Lytechinus pictus: one gene and its partner. The main gene of each other region encodes a partner of the protein of the gene in region 2 in a complex. Links are inferred from orthologs where the notes say so. Each region holds a gene or a part of one and is shown on either strand. Other genes may lie near its edges.

Evidence for each region.
Region 1: complex I assembly factor ACAD9, mitochondrial-like (region 2) and complex I intermediate-associated protein 30, mitochondrial-like share a complex: the UniProt entries of both Homo sapiens proteins name them as parts of the mitochondrial complex. The link is inferred for Lytechinus pictus from reciprocal best matches to the Homo sapiens genes ACAD9 and NDUFAF1.

What each region holds. Positions count from the first base shown.
Region 1 is NC_087251.1:31,761,867-31,770,476, reverse strand, and holds the start of complex I intermediate-associated protein 30, mitochondrial-like, read left to right. Parts: upstream 1-5,088; 5' UTR 5,089-5,410; intron 5,411-8,610. Other genes in the region: probable RNA-binding protein EIF1AD, read right to left, coding at 573-659. UniProt on the Homo sapiens protein: As part of the MCIA complex, involved in the assembly of the mitochondrial complex I.
Region 2 is NC_087247.1:7,772,313-7,780,330, reverse strand, and holds the start of complex I assembly factor ACAD9, mitochondrial-like, read left to right. Parts: upstream 1-4,833; 5' UTR 4,834-4,921; coding exon 4,922-5,248; intron 5,249-6,292; coding exon 6,293-6,386; intron 6,387-7,266; coding exon 7,267-7,368; intron 7,369-8,018. Other genes in the region: protein FAM50A-like, read right to left, coding at 392-534, 1,363-1,450, 2,058-2,145, 4,467-4,577. UniProt on the Homo sapiens protein: As part of the MCIA complex, primarily participates in the assembly of the mitochondrial complex I and therefore plays a role in oxidative phosphorylation.

The sequences.
Region 1 (8,610 bases), on a different chromosome or scaffold from region 2:
CGATTTTGAGCCATTGATTTCATGATTTTTACAAAGATAAGTTTACATAAAGTAGATCTACCTGGGTCCTGTTTCATTACGATTTGTTGCAACAAATGCAGAGTTTCTATAACAAATTTACCATCAGCCAATCAGATTAAAGGATTTCAGTAGCTTTTAACTGTTCTTGTAAATTTGTTATTGTAACAAGTTTTATGAAACAGATCCCAGATCTAGATTTAATTGATAATATCTTGACAATTAACCTTGATTAAAAGACTTTCTCATGAAATAATTGTTTGCTGCAACTATTGCCAATTGGTAGGCCCTACTGTCTTTTACCTTTAACTTTTAACTAAGATGAAAATTGATCAATAACCAAAATAAATATTTGATTGAATGTAACACTGAGTGCTCCAAAGAATAAGGAGAAAACAAGGTTTGACTTTGAAGTTTGGTGTTTACTCAAGCATGAGATGTGCTCACTGACTGAGCCATTTCATTAAAAGTTTCATGGCCAAGCGAAACTTCCAAGACCAACATGACCAAGTCTAGGCCAAGTGAAAGTTTAAGACTCTACTTTTACTACTAACCTTCAAAATTTGTTGATTTTCCTCTGGCAAAATATAATCTTCCAGAACCTCTCTTGTTACATGTTTGCGTTTGGTAGCTTTTGACATTGTGTGGATGTGATCTGGGATTGTTTTAATTTACAAATGACTCAATGACAAATTATTATTGCTGACTAGGCCTAGTGCCTTGATCCTTGATGGAGTAGATTTTAAGCCTGTACTGTATGGTACACCCAATTAGATCCTGCGTCTTTTCTGAAGGGTCTACACTACACAGCCAAGGGCCAAGGACAGCAAAGCGAATTAGCACCCCAAAAAGATGTGGCTGAGTTCAAACTTCAATGCACACAACCTGGCTGGACGGACGGATAGGCAGCTCCTCCCAGTTTATTGGCTATTGCACACTCCGATCGACTGCGACTTGCGAGTGATGTCGTAAGACGTGAAGCCTAGGCTTATTTATTAAACAGTTCGGCGAATTCTATTTAGAGTTGGAATAAACAATCCTCTCGAAGGACTTTCCGCCGACTGTGATTCTTTAAGCCGCCATGATCGCGTCAGTATGCCAATATTAAGAAAACTGACAAAGAAAATATGAAAAATAAGTTGAGACTTTGGAGAGAGTACGACGATTTGACTTTGCTCCTGCCATTTCCATTTCTACAATGAGTGTAACTCGTCGTCCATCAGAAATATCGTATCAGGCATTCGTCCCACCTTTTGCGACACGGTAAAAGCTTGCATTGTCAACGCGGGGCAACGCGATCCTTTCTTTTATGAACAAGATCCGTATATAGGGGATGGCGGGGTAAGCCCATAGAGATGTATACTCTCTATGGGTAAGCCACCTTTTGCTTTTTGCATGTTGGAATTGATACTATTTATAATCTTGTAGAAATAAGTACCTTGCCTTAAAATTCAATTCTTCTGAAATATCTTTCACCTATATATAACTTTCTATCCCCACACTGAAAGTCATTGTCTGATGTGATGGCTCAACTTGCCCCATCTGTGGGGTAAGTTGAGCCACAAACACTATATGTGTGGGGGAAGAACCAGCATGTCTAATTTTTTTATTCAAAGTCTTTTCACTTGCTAATTCTCTATAAATAACAACATCCTAAAAGGAATAGAACAGTCATGTAAATTTGCTCCTTTCTGTCTGCATATCGAAGGCTTTTTAAGGTTTTTTTGTTTTTTATATAGGCCTACATTATAAGAATTACCATGTCTCAACTTGCCCCATGTCGGCTGGCACAACTTACCCCAGTCCGAACATGATGCGATAATTTCGCTTCCACACATTTCTTATGCATCCATCATAATTATAAAAGACTATGACAAGAATGAAGCTCCATACCTGGGCTAACAATGTTGTTCTTTATAGTCTTTGGTCTTTATTTTATTTAAAGACGTGTGTGCATGTGTGTAAAAAGCACTTATCTATTTCGCACCCTTTTTTACTTTTTTGGCTGAAATTTGTATTTTTCCCTCAAAAAAAGTACTTTTTGTTTCAAAGTTGAAAACAACTTGTGGTGGGGTTAGGGGTTATGCAATGGGTCATCAATACAATGACAACACCACAGTGTCTGACTCATTCATTATTGGCCTGGGGGTAGTGGTTCAACTTGCCCCTATAATTTATGCTCAACTTACCCCGCCTTCCCCTATATACTCATGGAGGTAATGCATGTAGGCCTAGCTATACATCTTTTGAGAACAAGTGTTTTGACATAATAGCAACTAACAAGGCATATTATTCCTTGTCTTCTTTAGTGGTAACAGGCGGCGAGGGGCACGGGGGCGGCCTCGATCTGCCCCCCTCAGCCCTGCATGGCTCCGGGAAAAAAACCGGGGAGAATGGGAAAACTTTGAAAGAAACGAAAGAAAGAAAGGAAATGGAGGAAAAGGGGAAAGGGAGGGGAAAAAGAAACGGAAAGGGAAAAGAGTCTATAAAGAGAGGAAAGGTTTTCAGCGGAAAGAGGAAAACAGAGACAAGATTATGAGAAAGAACTTACTAATGAATGAGAAAGGGGAAATATATAGAAAGGTGGCAAAATGGAACGGGAACGAGTATGACAGGACTCAAGAGGAAAGAAAAGGGACAAACAGAAACGGGAAATGAGGTAGTGTAATGAACTCGTTCGTGACGTTTTAGAAATATCCCCACATTTCACATGTTGTGCCCCTCAAATGTTTGGTTTATTACTCCACTGTATTGAAGTGATGCGTTTTGTAAAACATATATGATCAGATTGAAAAGTAAGGTTTCATGTAATGAAATCTCGAGAGGTTCTGGTTCCGCTCGGACCCCAGCAGCACTGGCATAAAAATGGAAGGCGTTGCTGGGGACTGGCCCCAAAAAGTTCTACGACCAAGAACAAAAGGAGAAATTAAAGAAATGGACAGGAAAGAGGAATAAGATCATGTCAAAATCTATCACTTGTAATGAAAAAGTAGAAGAAAACCTCGCTCGCTTCGCTCTCCCGGGACTTTTATTCAGAAACTTTTGCCACATGCACCATGCTGTAAGTGGTGGTACCAAGGGGGGGGGGTCAGGATCGTTGCCCTACTTGCTCCCGCGCCCGGCCCCCCGAATATTCCGAAACTGAAGAAATAATGTAAATGCTGTCATGAGCATCTCACTTAAGCTGTAAAGTGATCCACAACAGCTAGCACTATTCACCCTTCAAATTTTGTAAAATTTCCTCATATAGTCATGGTATAGTTCCCTGCAATATGAAATAAAACTTTAATTGAGGTCATTTTATAACATTCAAAATTTTGTTCGCGCTCGCAGTGACTTTTGATTTAGATAAATAAATGATCTGTTTAATAAGATAACATGGGGCTTAAAAATCCAGTGTTCGAGTCAATATGCACAATAATTTTTTTTTTCATGATTCGAGTTTTCATTATTTGTTTTAGCGAGATACACATCTTGCATAATAAATTTCATAATTGCAAAAAAGTATTAAAACGCGCTCGCATGCATTTTTGTTTAGATATATGGATACCCATCCTGTTCATAAGAAATGCTAACGTCCACTTATCATATCAGGATATTAACATTTTTCATCTCGCATATTTTATTTGGTGAAAATATCACAAAGTGTCACGCAAACAGGGATAGGTCCTTTTTTTAAGTGAGTGGGACCAAAAAAATTTAGCTTGTGCTTCGAGCTTGATTTTGCGATTTTTTTACTTATTTTATCTTTTTACTCATAACGCTACTCTCACATAGAGCCTCGCACCATAGTGCTCGCGTGTAATCATGAAAAATCCTGTTCACATCATGATATGACCGGGAGGAAATTTTTGGCTCTCCCCCCCCCCCCCCGCGCCGGCCGGCCCGCGGCCCGGCCGGCCGCCGATCGACCCTTAGCTGTTTCACCCATGCATGCTGCTTACGATAGACTATTTTCCATGTACTGAAATGAACAACGTCAAAAATTCTCAAGCTCCCTGCAGAAGTCTCATAGGCATGCACAGTTAAGCTCGGGGCGTAACAGGGGTCGGTTGCCGGGGAGGGGCAAGAGCCAAAAATATCCCGGTCATAATGTGAACAGGATTTTTCAGGACGTGCATATTATTATAACTGTTTTGTGAAATTAAGCAAAATTTTTAAAAGTCATAACTTTCTTATTTTATATCCGATTTTGATGAAATTTTCGGTGTTATGCTTGTTGGATTTTTCTCTTTTTATTCAAACAAATTTTTTGTGGGGTGGACTTGTCCTTTAAGTGCTTTTCTTTCTTTTCTCCTTTTCTTTTTTTGCTTGTTTGTTCTTGGTCGTAGAAATTTTTGGGACTCCCTTCCTCTCCATATAGATTCAGTCATTTACCTTGATGGCCGCTATTTTCAATCAAATCACGCGGGTATACAGGTTTTACGGAGGTTTTACGAAACAAATTTTCTATAACATCAAGAGCGAGTTTTTGCCCTATGAAAATGAAATTATGTAGGCCTCATTAAATTGACATAATTTATAAGGCAATGCTTGGACGGTACCTCTGCATGGAACCTCTCTAATAATCTTCTGTAATATTGTCCTGATTGCGATCGTTATTGCCATTTAGCAAGTTATCATACATTAATAAGCCATCTCATGCTTTAATTTATTATTAATCTTTGGTAGCCCAGACTGTGTCTTCATTTTTTTCTTCATTTTTAAAAATTCAGCTTGAGCATATTAAGACCTATACCACGTACCGGGGTCTATACTTACCTCATTGTTCTATTTCATTTTCCGTCACTTTTCTCACTCCTCAGTTTTCCCGCCATAAATTCCCGTTCCACGTGGCCATCTCTTGGTTCTCCTTTCTCTCCTATTTATTAGTATTTCGGGATTATTTTTTCTTATACCTAGATCTATACGCGTAGGCCCCCTATTCGTGTTTTTTTCCTTTTCCTTCCGTTTTACCTTTCTTCTCTTAATTTATCGGCTTTCTTTTTCCCCTCAATTCTTTCCCCTTTCTCCCCCCCCCCCCCCTCTTTCCTCTTTTTCTTCCTTTTCATTTTCTTTAATTCTGTCTTAGCTTTCCCCGGTTTTTTTTCCTGGTGAGCTCCGCCAGGGTGGGCAGACTGCCACTCCTGCCCCAACCCCGGCTGTTGCACCGCTAAGCTCCCCTAAAACTTTTGGTCTCGAACCTTGCCTGTGGCCGTACTCAGCTTGGCCGAAATGTCGCGGTGCATGCATATACCATAGAGATGTATTCTATGGCATATACTCACATACTAATATAATGGGTTCCCATATATATAATGCACGTGATGTACGTACGTGATGTATACCGGTACGTGTACCAAAGGCAAAGATGCTCTCCGAGCGGCCGGCCGACGTCCGACCTGGGTAAGTGGTAAGTTCAGAAACACTCTATGAGAAAGTCTGTAAAACCAAGGTTAATTGTTACTTTATAATCGTAGGTGGATCTAGATCTGGTACAGGTACATTAACTGAACTTTGTTAATACATGAAAGGCTGAAATCTAAGGAAGACTAGCTGAAAAGATCACGCTGCTCTGCACTGATGACTGATCACCAACACAGATAAGCACATGTGGGACAATGTACTATTGTTATTGCTCGGAAAGGGGGGGGGGGGGGGGGTCGGAATATTTCCCCTCAGACTCGAAGGGGTCCGGCGGAGGGATCATTTGGCATTTTCTTGATTTAATTCACTGCCGTTCATTTCAGGGTGACCAGAAAATGAAATATGGGACAAAAAGCACGATGCACGATCGGAGCAACTGATAAAAAAAAATCAACAAACACAATGTTTGATAAGAAAAGGAAAGGGAGGGTGAACGAAAGAATGAAGGAGAGAAAGAAAATAGGAAAGAAAAGAGATGGAATAGAGGAAAGAAATACAAAATGAAGGGGGAAATGAAAATGAAGGAAATTTTTTTTTTAAAATTAGAATGAAAGGTCGGATGAATAAAAGAAAAAAAGGTTTACTTTCTGCCATTCTTTGAAATGAATAAAGAAAGGAAGGGAAGATGAATGAATGCATGTGTGATATAATAAATAAATGAGAGAAAGGAAAAAAAAAGAAAGTAAGAAAAAAAAAGAAGAAAGAAAAAGGTTTCCTTCATTCTTTGAAAGAAAGAAAGATGGAAAAAACAGGAAAGGAAAGAATGAATAAGGGGAAAAGAGAAAATAAAGAATGAAAGAAAGCCGATGAAAGGGAGAGAGGAGAGTATGAAAAAAAAGAAAACTAATGGAAGGAGAGAAAGAACGAAAATGAAAAGGAGAGGAAGGGAGAAGGAAGCAAAGAAAAGTTCAAGGAAAGAATTAAAGAATGAAGGAAATAAAAAAAGGTATTTAAAAGAAGGAAAGTAAGAGAAAGAAAGAAAAATGAACAGAGAGAGAGAGAAAGGATCAGAAAAGAAAGCGAGGAAAGATTGGAAATAAAGATAGATGGAACAAAAAAAGGCAAGCAGGAAGGATAGAAGGATGAAGAAAGAAGGATAAAAAATAAAAATGAAACAAAGGAAAAAAGTTCAAACTTCAAGCAAGCAAAAATATCCAATCATCTTCATGATATTTGGGTTTTTAAAAATCTATTTTAAAAATTGTTAGAACACTAAAATGTTTTAGAAATGAATAAAATTTCAAAGTGAAACATTGTCAAACTTAAAAATTAGATGAAACATCGCAGCATCACACATCTCTCATCCCATGACAAGTTAGCACTGATCACAACAAGACTTAAAACGAAACCTGAAACAACTAGATCTAGTTATGAAAACTCAATATCTTGCTCCACCGATTACATCACCAAATCAGTAATCTGAGAATCCATAATATAAAAATTAAAATTGCCCGCCCATTTTGTGATTATTTTGGTGGAAAAACTGTTGATCATGTGAGATTGTTTGCACCATTGAGAATCTGCTCCGATCCTAGTAGCCTGCCACACACACAGACAGGAAGCCATTGCAAGCCGCAGAACTTGCAAAAGTTTACAGTAATTTTATTGTTGTCTCTCCTTTGTCATCTGTTGGTTATTTTCCCAGGTTATTTTTATGAAAATTCTTCACTTTTCTATGTATTAATTACATTTTGTTCAATATTCTGACATACGGGACAAATAGGCGTCCCGGGAAGGGTTTGTCGGGACGCCGGGACAAAGAAGCAAAATACGGTATGTCTGGTCACCCTGGTTCATTTCGTCAGTGGAGGTGACTTCTTTCCTCTCCCATTGACTTTGTACACAACCATGACAACAAGCGCACACAGGAGAAGAGAGGTGACTTATTTCAGGATAAGGCCGATCATTTTTATTTTGTGAGTGATTGTGTTTGTGAGCGATCATGTATGTATTTATAAATTATAGTATCTATAGCCTTTATAGGGAACTTTTTTGTTTTAATACTGTGCCTGTGCCCGGTGCCGGTGGCCAGGCAATTTTAAATTGCCTTGGATGTGCAAAGTTTTCTATCTGCTGTTGACATCAGGGTTGACTTGAGTTGAAGCCATTTTTTTTTTTGGCATTCGTCAGCTGGTGTTGATGTTTAGACTGATGAGGGCATGAAAAGAATGCTGAACCGAGCTGGATTCAGAAGAACGATATATCGATCGCGTTATAAAAATCTCATACAGAATGCAAAGTAAGGCCAACATAACTTCAAATATCTGAAAGACAAATTATTATTGTTCATAAAAATTACTGGGATGTTTCATCGTTCGCGAGCTTCAAATCACGAATACCAACACCAAACATGAAATTAAGATAGTCAACACCAGCTGTAATGCCTCTTATTATTCAGCAGGCGACATTCAACACCAGCGCTAAACACAAACTGCCGGGAATTTGTCATATTTTCCGAGGTCACTCCCAACACCAGCCTCATTTCAAGTATGGTGTTGTGGCTGGTGTTAGAATGAAGTGGGTCTTGTATCTGTTGGATCTTGAAACCTCAAAATATGAATTAGACATACATGTAGCCTCTACTGTAATTTTTCAAGAAAGATTAAAATTTGCTTCTGAAACTGCAGCCATGAAAAGTATTTGAGCCCCTGAAAGACGTGTTGTTTACAACTTTGTCTTGGCACTTTTTTTGCAGATGCAGCTATTGGCTGGTATGGATGAAGGCACATTGAAAACACATTTTAATGTGTAATACTTCTCATCTATTGTTTAGGGCACACACATTCATATGATCATCTAGCAATGAATTTGAATAGTTTGAATAGTAAAAAGTAAAGATTAATGATTGATGATTATTCCTGAGTGACAATTTGCAACTAAATTAATGAAAAAGCTCCCCTTTCCTCTTTAATGTAGCAAACATTTCATGAGCTTTTATGACAACCATGTTGAAAATTGTGTATTCCGAGCATAATATTTAAAGTATTGTTAATGGGAAGTTACAAATAATGCAAGACCTAATTCTTCACTACTTTATAAACCCTCCTTCTTTTGTTGCTTATACTGGCCAAGTAAAACATCGCTTTATTCCAAACAATTTTTTCGAGTTTAGAAAAAATCAAATAATTTCCTTATTTTCTCTCTTCATTATTCCCATTTGTTAAAATTTGACAGATGGCCTCTAAA
Region 2 (8,018 bases):
TATAGAAAAAAATATCTGTTTCTGACCATATAAAAGGGTGAGCAAAATAAGCATGGCATTCCAGCTAGATGTTGGATGATTTTTCAAGCAATGATAACATCACCAAGCAATGATAATACACTGTCCCATATGTGCTTATCTTCGTAGGCAATATCTAATTATGATCATTTTTCAGCGTAAATTTCATGTTTCATAAGAACAAGTAAATTATGTACCAGATCCAGATGTACAATGATATGGTCACATTTCACCTTGATTTTAAAGACTTTCCCAAGATATCATCGTTTGCTGCAACTACATTAATTTAGATTTCAGTTAATTGGGTTAAAATGTTCTATGAAGTTTAACCCACAATATTCACACACACACACACACATGATGAAAATCTCACCTAACTCATCATCTGCTTTATCTTCTTCTTCCTCCTCTTTATCATCACAAACTCCATCTTCTCCTTCTTCATCATCTTCATCCATATTGAATGACAGCGTTCCAGCATTCTTCAGTTTCTTCTTCCTCTTTCGTTCCTTTGCTCTGTACAAACACATGAAACAATGGATACAGAACATGCCTGTCATTAATGTTCGGCTTATTGGTATTCATTCTAGAAATACAATTTCCTCTTCCTGGAAATTCTCCGAGAACATTATCGAGGGTCAAATGAGACAGTCTATATTTCAGTTATTCTCAGTGTATATAGAAATATTTGAAGCAATCTCATTTAAAACATCCCTGTCTTTCAATTCAATTCTATTGAATGGTCAGTAATAAGGGATGGGTTGGAAGGGGGGAGGGGGATCAATGAATCAGCTATTCAAGTGAAAGAGATGTTGCATGCATGATACTAGTCAATGTAGTAGACTGATTTGTATTGCAAAATGTACTTGAATTAAAAAATTACTCTACATTTTGACTCTGTGCACTTTAGGATGATTTCTTGGTAAAGGAAATGTCAAATTTTTTCAAGTATCATTTTTCGGTTTTGTCTCAGCCCTGGGGGGTATTTCATTAAATAAATAGTGATTTTCACTGGCAACTGTTATAAGCTTCTGAAATCCTTGCATCTGATTGGCTCGGAACAAATAAGTTGGTGAAAATCACTAACAAGATGCTCCATGAAACACTCCCTTAATTTTGCCATACGTTTTTGTTTTAACAACTTTTTACTTATTAAACGCATTCTATGAGTTATTTCTGTGATGTGAAGCAATGGAAAAAGGAAGAAGTTTACATTTTTTTAATGACGATATAGGGCACACAAAGTTTAAGAAAATAAAACTGTACAATTTGGATCTCACACGGTTATGCCAACGTTTCACCAAATAGATTACGGTGGAGATTGGAGTGTATGAATTGACTTACAGAGCTTTAGATGATTGTGCAAGTTCCTTTTCTCTCTCCTTCACCAAGTCCTCTCTCTTTGCTCTCATCTGATCGAAGGTGACCAGACCTAAAAAGAAAGAAAGAAAAAGAGGAGTTGTGACAAACAAACAAATCTCTAAATGCAAAGTACAAACTGATTTAAAGGCCAAGCCCAAATACAAAAATATGCTGACTTGAAAAGAGAAAAATCAACCAAGCATGAACCTGAAAATGTCTTCAAATATTCAATGTTCAATAGGAAAGTTTGACATTTTACTTTTGTTTGAATTCACAAAACATTTATATACACATCCTGGTGAGAATGCAATTGAGGAAGCTGAAGACATCACCCCACTTTACTTGTGTATTTCATTATATGATACGTGAAATATCTTCATTTTTTTGGTTTATTATAATGTGAAAAAAAGTTTGATACTTCCCTAAAATGTTAGGTCGCCATTGTTGTGATCTATTGTGAGTCGATGAAGTCCTTTCTCAATGTTAAATTCACAATTCAAAGAAACAATCTGCACCATTGGAAAAGCTTTGACATTGCAGTCAATGGGGATTTTTAGGGCTTAAAAAAAAAAAAAAAATTTGTGGGCTCTTTGGAGCATTTCAAAATGGATACCACACAAAGCCCCATGTACCCCCCCCCTCTTTGATTCAATAATGCAGATGATGAAATACTGTACCAATGGTGCTGCTCTTGAGTTGCTGTTCCACTGCATCATAATGAGCCGAAAATTTTGCGCTGATGGTAGACACTCGACTGACACTGTCCTGATAACAAAAGGAAACAAAATCATAGAAAAAACAAACTTTCAGGAATGCTTTTTTTCAAGAGCAAACAGTATCATTATGTCATGGACCATCATTAGATAAAAGTTATGAATTATAGGATATTATTGGCCATGTGTCTCATGAGGTCGCCTACTTTCGTGTTACATGGTGATTTTCACTAAGTATACACCCTATGATAGTAAAACTATATATTTTCTGAAAGGAAATCGCTCAATGAACCCAAATATTCACTCAGAAACAGCAATATGTGTAAGGCATTAGTGTTATATTATGTTGAATGGAAAATTTTTAATATTTTTCAATCTCATATTTGTGATTATAATAAAATACATGGTCCCCCGATGACCAAAATAATGACATTTCTGTACAGTACAGACCTTTTTAACAATGTGTAATTTTATTGGGTTTATGGTTATGAAATTACTTCAAAATCAACGAGAACTTATGCAATCTTTTTCCCTAAAAATAATAAATGTATATTGTGCATGCTATTTCTGCCTGCATTGCAATTACATTGTGGTTAAATCTACTTGTTCATCTGATTTATTAAAGGTATAAAACAATTTAAAAGAAATTCTGATAATGATATCATTAGACCAAATAATACTCCTAAGATTCTTCACATATTGTAAGTCTGAACAAAGCCAAGTATTCACTTATTACTTTCATCCTACAGAATAGTCACTTGTTTTCTGTATCTTACAAAAGGTACATTGAAATTAAGAATTACTTAATATAACTAAGAATAACTAATAAATGAAGAAAATGTTTCAATATGGAAGGATTGTTGTGAAACTTGAAGAATTTCAACAATTTTCTATTTCTTTTTCAATGTTTTTTGGTATTTGAATGATAATGACATTGCCAAAACTATTTTTCAATCAATTAACAGTAAAGAAGATTGTTGTAGTTTCAATATGATACCAAATTTTTAGTTGGAAGTCAAGTTTTCACAAAAATATTAACGTTCTACCCAAAATAGCACAAAGTATTGAGAATCAATCCCCATTGACTTCCTACAGGTGGCATCGCTGCCCGCACCATCCCCGGTGCTCCGTCTTTAAAGATGTGTTCTACTTATCCTAGAGCAATGAAACTTTCTAAATCATTAGCCAATGAATTCAGCTTGAAAATGATACCAAACTTGTTGGCATAGCTTCTTTGATTTTGAAAATACTTAGGAATAACTCAACACAAATTAACCAAAATATGTAACACCACCCATTTTTGGTCGGCGACCTCATGACACATGGCCTATTTTTTCTCTACCCCTCCAAGGCTCCATCCACCATCTTCACACTCACAGCAACTGTTTATTTTTCCTGTACTATGATGAGGCTTATTTCCACTGTGTTTGCTTATTCTCATTTTCATGCTGGCTTTCCACTCAAACGCAGAGAAAATTAATAAGAAAAATACAATACAAATTATCAATTTGATTACATATGTACAAACAAATGAGACGCGTCTTGGACAGTTATCTCTCGTAAGCTAGCAAATATTCTCCAAGTTGATAACGCCATCCATCCGCACCTCCACAGAGTATACTTTACAATCCAATGTCATAATCGATTATGTTTATGAGAGCATGGATCCACAAAAGCAGCACTCCAGCAGCTAGCACTGTAGCAGGCGCAGCTCAGCCTCAGGCAGCACTAAGTAAGCAGCTAGCGGTAACTTAGACAGCTGGCAGCCGTCTGTTTCGAGGAGTTTTTTAACATTTTTTTTTTTTTAATTTCTCCTCATACACAGACGGCTCGCTAGCGTGCAGCCACCATTAGGGGACTTGCAATGCAAAATCCCCCCGTCGGGGCTCTTCAATTTTTGTCTTTAATGAGTAAAAATTTTGAAAATTCACGCGACCAAAATGCAAATTAATATTCCCTCTTGAGTCTTGGCATCAATTGCCAAAAAACCGAGAAAAATCAAGTTAAAAGGAACAAAAACAGTGACTTACCTCGGCTGTCGCGCAAATTCACTTCCCCGTTTTATCCGATCTTAAGTACATAAACATATGGCCATTGAGTCCCCTGTACAGATCGCGCTAGAACTTCGGTCTCTGTATTTGGTGAGTGAAGCCAACGGAGTTCAGCTGAACAACCAACATAACAGAGACCGAAGCTTTTGGTCTAGCGGTAACTCAGCTTAGCACACGCCGAGACTCCCCGCGCCTCTCAGCAGCAAACGGCTGACTCACAAAGTTCTCGGTGCACTGCACCATTGATTGGCAGTCGTCTACTCCCCGAATAATGTCAGTTAATTCACCAATATTACCGAAAAAAATATTTTTCAGATCTTACCTGCTCTATGCGTTGTTTTAAACGTTCTAGCTCTTCTCTCTGTTTCTCCCGTTTCATCAAAAGTTGACGAACTCTTCCAGCCTCGCTGGCTGCTCCCTTGTACTCGGCCATTTTTTCCAGCTTAGGACGATACCACTATTTTGGAGGCCGAGGCTCCATTGAAAAGTTCACATCGTTAAAAGTGTGATAAACTTATAGAATGTATCAATATAAATTGCATTCAATATCGAGACAATATTAATTTATTATATTATTCAATCATTCTTTTTTCATCCATAATGAGTCAAAATGCTAAATATCTCCATCAGCAACCACAAAGATATTCCCATCAATTAAGACCGCCCCTTACCATAAGTCTAATCTCCCACTTACATAATACGTTCTTTGCTGGCATATTTCAGGGAAAGTCCCCAAGTAAAAATCTTAAAACTTGTGGAGAATTATTGAATGCAGTCATGTTTTGCCGCAATTTTCGCAATGTTCAAAATATTCATTCTCACTTAATATCAAGGTCTGTTAATGGGACCGAACTCATACCAAACAGATCTGTGAATTGCTTTCATAAATGGACAGATCCTGCCACAGGAACAATTCACATTGGAAGACACACTGCCGGCACTTCACATCAAAACTCTTCCCCGGCAGCACGGGGGGTTGCCACATCGGCCTCCCGCTTCCAAGATTCTGTGAGTCCGAGCTCTGCAGCGGCGTCAAGCGTCTCTCGAGTCACAGCTTCTCCAGTCGGATTCGCCAAAAATCTTTGTCTTGGCAAATTTAACAAGGTACCGTATCATATGTTTACCCCCAAAATATGTACCGTCATGACCGTACTCCCGGAGTCCTATTTTAATTTTTAGTTTTAAACATATAATCTAGATCTAATTTAGACTGTGACTGTAGCTATAAACATGTTAAACCAGCAAAATTTACTCTACGACTATGTTTAGCAACAGCTAAAATCAACCTTTTTACTGGAGGAGTTTTTATTTTTTGAATTTTCTAAAACTTTTTTAAATTTCTCCTCCAGTGGAACAAGACGTAGTCCAGTGCAGTGGTCATTTGTTTAGCGTTTTTGATTTAGAATAAAAATCTATACCCAAGACTAAGACTAAGTTATATCTCGGTCACATTTGCTCTATGCCTGGCGGCCGTACGGCGAGTTGAAAACAGCCGTTTTAACATTTTGTAACAGCTACATATGAATAAAGACGGATAAAACGGCTATTTTTGACTCGCCGTCAAGCAAATGTAGCCGAGGTAGCAGACATATCACGAACCAATCTTGTCCAATTTTTCTGCGCAACCTGATTTTTACATTAAAATTTCAAACTCATCTTGCTCATTAATGCGTGAAGTGTTTGTCTCGTATTAGGTATCAAAATAAACAGGAATATTTAATTATATGATCCTGTATAAAGTGAAATATCATAATTCTTTTGCCTTTGAAGAATAAAGACATGGGAATCCTGGTTTCCTTTTTTGTGGGATGCACTTTATTAATTACTACAAACCAAGCAGGTCTTTGCGTTCATCCACTTCTGGCTTCCTTGTTATTCCAAAAGTTTCAAAAACCTGGGGGGAAAGATCATTTGCTTTTGCATGCCCCCTTTGTGGAACAGCCTTCCTGAAGACATTAAAAAATGTACCTCTGTCGAAACTTTCAAAAATCTAAAAACTTTTTTATTTAACTCTTAGCTCTTTATGCGCCTTGAGCACTCTACAGAGTGGAGTTGGCACTTTATAATTCACATTATTATCATTTTACATTATTATTAAATTATCCTGTCGTATGATTAACTTTGCGTTTCATTACATATTACTTTTAGGATGATGCATTCCCTTTCCCTGAAATCACAGTGGAGCAGTTTGAACATCTCAACCAAATGTGTGATCCTATTGAGAAATATTTCAATGAAGAAGGTAGGATAGTTATTTTAAAATGTTTCATACCCATGTATATGTTCTATCTTTTGTATAGAGAGCTTACATGTAGTTTAATATTTTGAATAAAATGCTTATAATGATATGTATCATATGTATATGTTAATGGGTTTTTAACTGGTCCTATGGGACCTTAACCCTGTCACACCATACTTTGTTCTGTTCATTTACTTCACTATAATAATGAGGTGTCTAGGGACCATAATCTAGTCAACCAGTGTAAATTCAAGGTTACTGAAAATGTTTTAATATCATTTTCTTACTTAAAAATGTTAGAAAGTAAAACCAGATGAAGATTTCCTTTTTTGAATCAGTATAAAGAAGTATAGAATTATTTCATACATTCATCTTTGCCACATTTCTTTTATTTGTCAAAATAAGCAAGGTGGTTGCTATTCTTTGAGATACCAAGGATAGCAGTGAAGACAAAAATCATAGGGAAATCACATTTGTATCCTGTCATTTAAAAGAAATAGCAACATTGTCCACTGTCAGATTTGAAAGCTCGCTTACATTTCTTGATTGAGGGGATACAAGAAAAAATAAAATATAATGGAAATATGTCCTTATTTAAAGAGATTTTAATGTTTTGATATAATTTGTTCATGTTGCTACCTCAAGCATGCTTCCAGCCACATGTATTATTTAGGGCTGTGAAGGTCACCTGACTATATAAGTAATACAAGAATGAAGACCTTGATGCACACATTCACAAAGAATATTGGAAAGTCTGATACAGCTAGTACAAATTTCAGTCTTAAATAATTTTCAAAGCTCATATTGAAAATAACTCTTAGGCCTATCTTTTATGCTGAACCCAGTTAGAGAGTCTGAATTTTCTTTTTTTTACCTTCTACAGTGGACTCCAAAACAATTGATGTAAATGCCAAAATCGATGAGAAAACATTGCAAGGTTTAAAAGATCTTGGTCTCTTTGGTCAACAGGTTCCTGAAGATTATGGTAATAAGAATTTTGTGTGTGTATTTTTTTTTACTTTGTATATGCATAGGATAAGTATTTCAGAGATCACTTTGTTGCTTGAATAAATTGAAGCTCTTTTTTTTTAATGAATTGTGTAATATTCAAAGAGTTGTACTTGAGGAATTATTGCTATTTTTGCATGTTACCTGTAATATATCAAAGTTCTATTCTGGTAGTTGGCAAAATAAATATTGTATGTAGGCTACATATATTCTACAAAGGTGAAGAATTATGTGTGTTTGTGAGTAGGTTGTATTAAAAAAATAATATGATATTCCTCCCTACTTCCCCTCTTCTTTCTCTGCCTATTCTTCAATGTTTGATATCTTTCTTTCTATCTTATATACATATTTCTGTGGTTAATAATTATTATTTTCAAATTCACATTGCTTTTGTTATCATAATTTTCCTGAGTAAGTTATATCTGAAAATTCCATTTTCTTTGTGATATTTTTTTTTGTTCCCTTTTTTTATATCCATGCATTTTGTTATGTTTTTATGTTGTACAGGGCCTCAAGTAAAACAGTATATCACTTCTGATTGGGGCTACCCTGTTTAAACTATATGTAAGAAATGAATAAACAGTACGGGGGGTAATTTTTTTTTCATTTGATTTGTATTATTACTTG